Neurospora crassa OR74A: one gene and its partner. The protein of the gene in region 2 interacts with the protein of the main gene of each other region in a pairwise test. Links are inferred from orthologs where the notes say so. Each region holds a gene or a part of one and is shown on either strand. Other genes may lie near its edges.

What was found.
Region 1: the proteins of NCU02624 (region 2) and NCU03637 interact in a protein complementation assay, tested with the Saccharomyces cerevisiae proteins (2 studies listed by BioGRID). The link is inferred for Neurospora crassa OR74A from reciprocal best matches to the Saccharomyces cerevisiae genes ERG11 and STE24.

What each region holds. Positions count from the first base shown.
Region 1 is NC_026505.1:1,910,515-1,914,832, reverse strand, and holds NCU03637 (CaaX prenyl protease Ste24), read right to left. Parts: upstream 2,636-4,318; 5' UTR 2,448-2,635; coding exon 2,433-2,447; intron 2,359-2,432; coding exon 2,176-2,358; intron 2,118-2,175; coding exon 1,371-2,117; intron 1,310-1,370; coding exon 866-1,309; 3' UTR 611-865; downstream 1-610. Other genes in the region: NCU03638 (hypothetical protein), read right to left, coding at 1-165, 248-321; NCU03636 (hypothetical protein), read right to left, coding at 3,157-3,240, 3,316-3,449, 3,507-3,558; NCU03635 (60S ribosomal protein L38), read left to right, coding at 4,257-4,286. UniProt on the Saccharomyces cerevisiae protein: Proteolytically removes the C-terminal three residues of farnesylated A-factor mating pheromone. Also acts to cleave the N-terminal extension of the pheromone. Does not act on Ras.
Region 2 is NC_026501.1:2,956,453-2,960,936, reverse strand, and holds NCU02624 (cytochrome P450 51), read left to right. Parts: upstream 1-1,447; 5' UTR 1,448-1,715; coding exon 1,716-1,961; intron 1,962-2,033; coding exon 2,034-2,231; intron 2,232-2,293; coding exon 2,294-3,445; 3' UTR 3,446-4,066; downstream 4,067-4,484. UniProt on the Saccharomyces cerevisiae protein: Sterol 14alpha-demethylase that plays a critical role in the third module of ergosterol biosynthesis pathway, being ergosterol the major sterol component in fungal membranes that participates in a variety of functions.

The DNA of each region.
Region 1 (4,318 bases), on a different chromosome or scaffold from region 2:
GAAATAAGGGAGGATGCGGAGAGGAGGTCGAGAACTTCGCCGTCGATACCGGTAGTAGCACTAGGGGAGGCCGAGGGCGCGGTGATGGCGTTGGGGGCGCGGAAGATGGTACTGGGGGTGGAAGACAAGGTGGCGGGACGGAGGGAGGGGAGGATGGAGAATGAGCTGTATTCAGGGAAGTGGTCAGTTACTATGTTTGTGTTTTGGCATGCGGGTGGGGAGGGAAGGCAAGAGCAGAACAGCGTACCGAGTGGCAGTCTTGGGAAGAAAAGCGCTCGGCTTGAAAACAGCCTGGAGGGCCGACGAGAAAATCCTGGACATTTTGTCTACAAATGTGGTTGTCGCCGATGATGGTAGTGGTGGTAGTCGACGTCAAAGGATTGCGGGGGTGGAACAGGACCGGGCGAGACCGAATGCGCCGGGACGAACACAAAGCGTTTCGGGGATCCTATAGAGTGGTTCGCGACGAGCGGGCGCGGTTGCTGGATCGGCTCCGTCCAAAGTTCGATTGATCGGCCGGGGTCCGGGGAGAGCTTTTTGCACCCGGTTGCCAGCTGCTACTGTGGGAAGCAAGGGTTAGGGTTAAGTATTTCATCTGTGTTACCTCGACAATATGGTCTGCATTCGGTAATGAACCGCATAACAAGTTCCAGGTTCAAGGTTGATGAACTCCGTCCTGTTCAGTTCAGTAATGGAAGCCAGATTCTTTCTAGATTGTCTATCAAAAATTGAAGATTTAAAAGCAATATAGAGTAGGGTACTCTTCGCTGAGTGTGCTGATTTCCTTTGATTTGTGATCCCGCGCATGTCAGCCTTATTTATCAATTCCTCATCCACCTTCTCATTTGCATCATCCTTCACTGGCTTAGAGCTCATCCCGCCCAGTGGCAGTAGCAACATCAATCTTCTCTTCACCATCCTTGGCCTTCTCCTTGCCCTCAACCTTTCCAGTGGACTGCCAGTTGAGAGCCTTCAGTCTCTCGGTCAAAATGGGGTGCGAGAAGTGGTAAGTGGCGAACATCCAATCAGCATCCATAGTGCTGAGGTTCTGGATCTGGAGCTTGATCAAGGAGCGAGCGAGCTCCGCATTGTAGCCAAGCTTGTTGGCGAACTCATCAGCCTGGAACTCGAACTTGCGGCTGAGAACATTCATGCCCAGCTTGATGAGGGTGTCGGTAGGGCCAAGGACGTCCGAGAAGAGAAGGAATCCAACGATGATAGGGTGCACCGTGTGGAAGCCAAAGTCGGCATAAAGGGAGTTGTTGTTGATGAAAACGGAGAAGAGAGAGAAAATGGCGAAGAAGTGGGCCTATGCATTGTCAATCACAATTCGTGGTAAACAGCGGGATAACAAAGCAGCATCAGCTTACCTGGGAGATGCCAAAGAGACTAGTGGTGTGACCCAACTTCCAGTGACCCAGCTCGTGTGCAAGAACGGCAACAACTTCCTGGGTCTCGCTCTTTTCAATTAGGGTATCATAAATGACAATGTGCTTCTTCCAGGGCATGCCGAAGAAATAAGCGTTGCTGTGGGCACTGCGCTTGCTGCCATCAATGACGTGCAACTCGGAGAGGGGGAACTTGAGCTTCTTGGCGAGATCCTCCACGCTGCTCTTGAGCTCACCCTCCTCAAGAGGAGAGAGCTTGTTAAACAGAGGCAGAATGAAAATCGGGTAGATGGTGATCATGACAACCTGGAGACCAGCGACGAAAACCCAGAGATAGTAGAAGAACTGGTTTCCAGTCTTTTGCACGATAGCTAAAAAGCCGGCGAGGATCGGAGGCGTGAGAACGAAGGTCAAGAAGAGGGACTTGATCTTGTCGGTAATCCAAAGCTTGGCAGACGACTTGTTGAAACCGAACTTCTCCTCCAAGACAAAAGTGTGGTAGAGGCTAGTCGGTAGCGAGAGAATCTGGGAGATGACGACAAAGGACAGGACGAAGACGATAGATTGCGAGATTTCGCCGGAGAACCTGGCTGGCGCGAACCGAACGAGGAGGTTGCCGGCGAATGACCATAGCTTCGGGAGGACGTCGAACTGATAGAACAAGATGTTTTGGATTTGACCGTAGATACCGCTGAAGAACTCGAACTTTGCCTTGGCGCGTCCGTATGCCTGTATCGTGTGTCAGAGAATGGTGGCCGGTTGGCCCGTAGCCTAGGGGATATCGTACCTGACTCTTGTCAAAGACCTCCTGGGACACCTCATGCTCCAACACCTTGGGGACCTTGGTCTTCTTGAGGACCTGATACTGACGATAACCGAGGAAACCTTCGATGAAGTAGTTGGCGAGGGAGAAGCCGATGATCAGCTTCTTCCAGGGAAAGAGAGGCCGGTCGAGGAACCTCGCGAGACGCTGTCGTTTTGAGAGTGCCATGTTAGCCGGTGCACGCCTTGGATGTCAGAGGAGAAGGATTTCGCAAAACGTACCTGAAGGAACTCCATCGTCGCGCAATAAGGGCGTGTCTACTAGAGGCTCCGCCGAATGCGCAAATGGAATGTTTGTTTGTTGGAACAATGAAAGCCAAAAGACCGTGTCAGATTGTCCGCCGCATTGGTTATAAGCACAATGCCAGGCAAGGTACAAACAGTAACAACAACCTGTCCTTGCCCCAGTTTCGCTTGGAGCTTCCTTGCAGGCATGTACCGCTACGTACCCTGCTGTGTATGGCGCAGTCGCCAACACTAGAAGTTACACATGCTGATTGGGTCGGGCTACTTCTCCTTGCGCTCGCCCCGCTCGGTAAATCTTATCGATAAGCCCGGTCGTAGAGGTTCCCCCGCCGCGAACCCGGACGCAACGCTGGATTGTTCGCATGTTGCCGGGTCACCCTACAGATCTCCGAACATAACAGTGTTTCCTGTTGTCATCAAGGCGCATTTCCCGATGTCTATAGTATGTAGTCATATCGTGTGGCTTCCGGTTTATGATCTTGTATTTAGCGGTTAGGATCACGAGTATGCAAGTACGATGGGAGAACAGGATTCAACAGCCATGTGTCCTCTAGCCAGCTGACGACACCATCGCCGGGCAGCATGCTATGAAGATAGTAATGTCCTCAAGAACATGGAACAGAGATAAATGCAGGCTAGGTATTCTTCAAGGGGTATAAACATATCATAGGGCTCCTCCGATTTCTCCAGCACGACCAGTTCACTGTCTTGGGATTCTCAAGTTCGCTTGGATCCTTTCCAGTAACTGCTCCCGGGTGTCCGAATCTTGTGGATGAAGATTACGCTGGTGATCATCAAAGTTAGCTCACAACATTAGCTTCGAGTTCTGCGTCAGCTTCTAACAAACTTGAAAACTCACCAGTGCAAGCCATCTGCGCATCTCCTCGCGAGTCCATTCTTCAGGATTGCCCTTTGGGTCAGCCTGGTCTTGAGGAAACACTTCGCCTCCAAAGATAGACCATGCGGCGACACCCGTCACGATGCCGGCGAATGCTATGTGGGGTTAGTCAAGCTTCGGTCGACTGCCCGACTGTTAAAAAAGAAGCTCACCAAGAAATGCGTTCTTGCTCGCGGAAACTATCAGAAGAGATTCGACAAGCATGATTGCTTCGGGATGTTGTGTTGTTGTGAAGAGGTACTCACTCGTGATCTCAACGCTTTATCTAGTGCCGTGGGCATATCGAGTAGTTCGGAAAAGGGTTGTCTTCGTTATAAGTGGTGGTAAGGCAAGAGGGGTAGACGCACTACTACAAAACGTTAACGCCCTAACTGAGTTGTCTGATGAGGTGGCACTTGGTTTGGAACAAAAGAAGCTCTACAATTAGGACCGCGTGATTAGTTTTTGATTATATACTATCTGGATTACACAAACTGGAATCGTGTCCTCCCGAGGCCTCGACCAGATGCGACCGAGCTTGAAGGCGAACTGCCGCGCAATCCCGTCAGATGTTCCAGATGGTCTAATGGTGACTGCCTGCGACTGAGGTAAGTCGACGCCACACGAGCTCCCTGTGTCACTGCATCTCCCAAAGTCGACGCAGTTACCAAAAGTGCAGCATCAGCCACACTTGGAGCTTGCGCTAACGTCGGCAGGTGTGATCTGGCGGAAGTGACAGCGGAAACAAGGGTGCATCGCGTTAGCGGCCCATTGCCCGCACGCATCCCCACCAAGCCACTCGCACCGCCCAGGCCCCAAACCCACACAAAATTATTTCCATAGTACCTAAAATTCATCCACGCTCCTGAACTCCGTTGTCGTCGTCACCACAAGTACGGGAAGTCCAGCACCAAGTCGCCAAAATGCCTCAGGAAATCGGAGATATCAAGAAGGTACGGAAATGCCCGTCGTCATGCTGAATTTG
Region 2 (4,484 bases):
TGAACCATAAGCAAGGAACGCCACAGCTTCCGAAGCATCAACATCAACAATCACAACCACAACCACAACCAACAACAACCACAACAACAAACTTGCCAGTCATAGCGCTTATTCTTTGCAGCTTTTCGCATTTTGGACGGCGTTCAACCAGGAGTTACACTTTCATTTTCGGGGTAACAAAAAAGGGGAAGGGGGGAGCATTGATCATTCCGGGATTCTTGGGATAGGGCACTCATGATACCACATAACACGCATTCACTCAAGCTTTTCTCTATTCCTTCGTATGGGTTTTCTTCTTTCGATGTCAGATAGAACATGTCCCGGCTTCCTGTCAGAATCAGCATTGATTTTTTTTTTTTTTTTTTTTTTTTTTTTTTTTTTTTTTTCTGTTTTCTTGCATGTCTGAACCAAGCAAGTCAATGCATTTGGTTGGTTTTGTGTAGAGTGACAAAGGGCTCGGTTGGAAACCTGCCTCATAGTATTGGAAGATACCAAGCCACCTGATTCAGACAACAAATAAATATATTTACTCTATACATACATATTCGAACCGGCAGCAACAGATTTTCGATCATGAGTCTATCAAACCATGGATTCGAATACGTTTGCGTAATCGTTTGATGACGCCATTGCACTACCTCACTATAACAATAGCGAACTCCACGTGTTTCTTTGGTTCCTTTTTTAATATATTTTCATAGGCTAGAAAGATAGTGGTGGTCAGCAAAGGCGAGGGACGACGCAAGATGACTTGCTTGGGCGGGATTGAGACGAGAGCGGGAGTAGCCGCTGTGGCAAAGCACAACCTCGAATGCCAAGAGATGGCTCCGTTGAACTCCAGCTTGACCCCTTTTTTAGTATTTGACCAAGTTTCTTTCAACAAAGCACGGAATGTTAGATACTTTTGCTTGCGAGTTGGGAATTGGTGAGATGTTTGAAAGGGGTGAAGTATGTAGATAGCGGCCATTCAAGTAGTATGCATATTATCATATCTGTTCATCGCTGCCCTGCATCTGCAGTCAGGCATTCATATGTATTCCTTCGTACTCGCCGCGTTCTGAAGACGTTAGGATTTCCATTCAAGCATGACATTACCCTGTCTGCATCCCATTTCCTTTGCAAGACCAAAACAGCATGGCTGAAGAGCTCCAATCGTCTCTTTCCATGGTGGAAACCGTCAGATGCGATTTCCCCCATGGCATGATCTTGGGCTGAGGTTGCCAGTGCGGCAAGGATAGGTTAGTTTGGATGATCTGGAGAGGGTACGTACCGTCCAACCAAAAATCCGAATACGAATGCGTTGCCCCTGCTCTTATGATTGGCTGGGAGACATCAGACTGCCCAACTCCTATTCGCCCGGAGGGAAAGCTGCTCCCGAAAGGTGAGGTGGTCCCTGAGCTTCACCAAGCTGGTGAAAGTGTGCTGCTGTCACCCCAGTTTTACACTACCACTGCACTGCCCTTGGTCCCTAGCTAGGTGGGTAGACCTCCCCTCCCCTATCAGCCTATCGCTAGGATAGGTCGTAGCCAGAGAGGGAAAGGCTACGATAACCGCCAACCATCGACCGACTTTATAAAATCAAGTCGCGTCGCCCATCTTCTCCCCTTTTACCCCCCCTCCTCAGGCTACATTCATTTTCTTGCTTGTTTGCTGCCGGCGTCCACGACTTTGGCTTCGTTCCCCTCCACGCCTTCTCCCCGCCTCCTTCTCCAACCATGGGCATCCTGCAAGTCGTTGCGGGACCGCTGTCCCAGCAGTTTTCCCAGCTGGGGACGGTGTCGCAAATTGGTGTCGCGATCGCCTCCTTTTTGTTTGTTGCCGTCGTCCTCAACGTCCTCCAGCAGTTCCTCTTCAAAAAGCCTAATGAGCCGCCTCTCGTCTTCCACTGGTTTCCTCTCATCGGCAGCACCATTACGTATGGTATGGACCCGCCGCGTTTCTTCAAGGAGAACAGGGAAAAGGTAAATCCTCCAACCGCCTCCTGTTGGGCTACGCGCGAACTTGGCTTGCTAACGATCTCGGCGCTCGAACAGTACGGCGATTGCTTCACCTTCATCCTCCTCGGAAAGAAGACTACTGTCTACGTCGGCCCCAAGGGCAATGACTTTATCTTGAACGGCAAAATTCGCGATGTCAACGCCGAAGAGATTTACACCGTCCTTACTACCCCTGTTTTCGGCAAGGACGTCGTCTACGATTGCCCCAACTCCAAGCTTATGGAGCAGAAGAAGGTTAGCAGAGGCAACAACATATGGAGGTGGTAAAGAGTGTGCTAACATACGGTTTTCACAAGTTCATGAAAATTGCGCTCACCACCGAAGCTTTCCGCCAATATGTCCCCATCATCTCCGATGAGGTTACCAGCTACCTCAAGAGAACCGCCGACTTCAAGGGAAAATCCGGCATCGTCGATATTCCCCCCAAGATGGCGCAGATCACCATCTTCACCGCCTCGCACGCTCTTCAGGGCAAGGAGATTCGCGACAAGTTCGACGAGACGCTTGCCGACCTATACCACGACCTCGACATGGGTTTCTCTCCCATCAACTTCATGCTTCACTGGGCCCCTCTTCCCTGGAACAACCGTCGCGACTACGCCCAGCGTACCGTTGCTAAGATCTACATGGACACCATCAAGGAGCGTCGCGCTCGCGGCGAGACTGGCGCCCAGGACATTATGTGGCACCTGATGAACTCGACCTACAAGGGCGACGTCCCCGTTCCCGACCACGAGATCGCCCACATGATGATCGCCCTCCTCATGGCCGGCCAGCATTCTTCGTCCTCCACCAGCTCGTGGATCATGCTCCGCCTCGCCTCCCGCCCCGACATCATGGAGGATCTCTACAACGAACAAGTCAAGAACCTCGGCGCCGACCTCCCCCCACTCACCTACGAGGACCTCGCCAAGCTGCCCCTGCACGCCGCCATTGTCAAGGAAACCCTCCGCCTCCACGCCCCTATCCATTCCATCATGCGCGCCGTCAAGACGCCCATGCCCGTCCCCGGTACCAAGTACGTTATTCCGACCGATCACGTCCTCCTCGCCGCCCCTGGTGTCTCCGCCACGGACGAGTCCTACTTCCCCCAGCCCGACCTTTGGGAGCCCCACCGCTGGGAGAAGGACTCGCCCCTCGCGCCCACAATTGTTCGCAACGTCCCTAGCGAGGAGGACGATGAGAAAATCGATTACGGCTACGGTCTCGTCAGCAAGGGCGCCAACTCCCCTTATCTGCCCTTCGGCGCCGGTCGTCACCGCTGCATTGGCGAGCAGTTCGCCAATGTGCAGCTGCAGACTATCCTTGCTATTATTGTTCGTAACTTCAAATTCAGGAACGTGGATGGTAGCGATAAGGTTATTGGTACCGACTACGCTTCGCTTTTCTCGAGGCCCCTTGAGCCGGCGAAGATTTACTGGGAGAGGAGGGAGGGTTGCCAGTTGTAAAGACACTGATGTGGTGGTGAGGAAGGGTGTGGATGCTTAGATGGGCGTTCTTTGGTTTTAGTTGTTATAATTATGGAACTGGGTCTACGGCATATAATGACGTGATTGATCAATCATGAAAAAGAGTGTTCTTGGAGACAGGATAGAATAGAGCTCGATGGACCTTATGGGAGGAGTGTCCCGAGGAAGACTCAGGGGAAAGAAAAGGAAGTTGCATTATAACTAATACCTAATACCAACGAACGAACACGGTGGCCTCACTGTCGAAGAACAGTACATCCATTCTTGATTGTTCTATGCACGTGTTGGTTGTTGTTGTTGGAGGTGTGGTTGTAGTAGCCAAAAGAAGATCTGCGAAAGTCTGAAAGGACAACATCACCAGTTCGCGTTGGTGAGTCAAATAATCCGAGTCGAGTCCGACAACCACCAAACGTGTCCTGCACCGAAATGAGTGAACAGTTGAAGGAAATGAAGGAGCAATATGCATTTCCTCTTCGGTGACTCGTTATGCTGTTCTCGATCATGACACAACTTTGCCTGACCGAATGGCTATGGGTACGTAGTTCATTCACTCGCCGCGGGTTGTCCATGGGGGCTATTAAGATCTAGGCATTTCCCAAAAAAAAAAAAAAAAAAAAAAAAAAGGGGGGGGGGGGGAGGGGGGAGGGGGGCTTGACGTAGTTATAAATCCTAAGCGAATCAACAGCCATAACTTCTAGGGAGTTGAAGGGGGTTTGCTACGAGAAGAGCTTATGTAGTGAGGAATTTGCTGGTTTACTCGGTCCCAGCCAACTGGTGGAAAATAGAAGGCCGGATCGAAGCGATATGGAAGTATAAGATAGAGGATGCTTGAACGCAGCCAAGACGGTTCCGAGGATTGCTGATGCCCACAGCACACAGCTCATGAGGCCGGCGAGGAGGTGATGGTTGTTAGAGATGCTCGGAGGATGGTGGAGGTATGGCTGGAAGATCACTGCACTGCACTGAAACGTGGAGATTAATTCTGCTGGAGACTTTGTGAAGGACAAGGAACTATTGA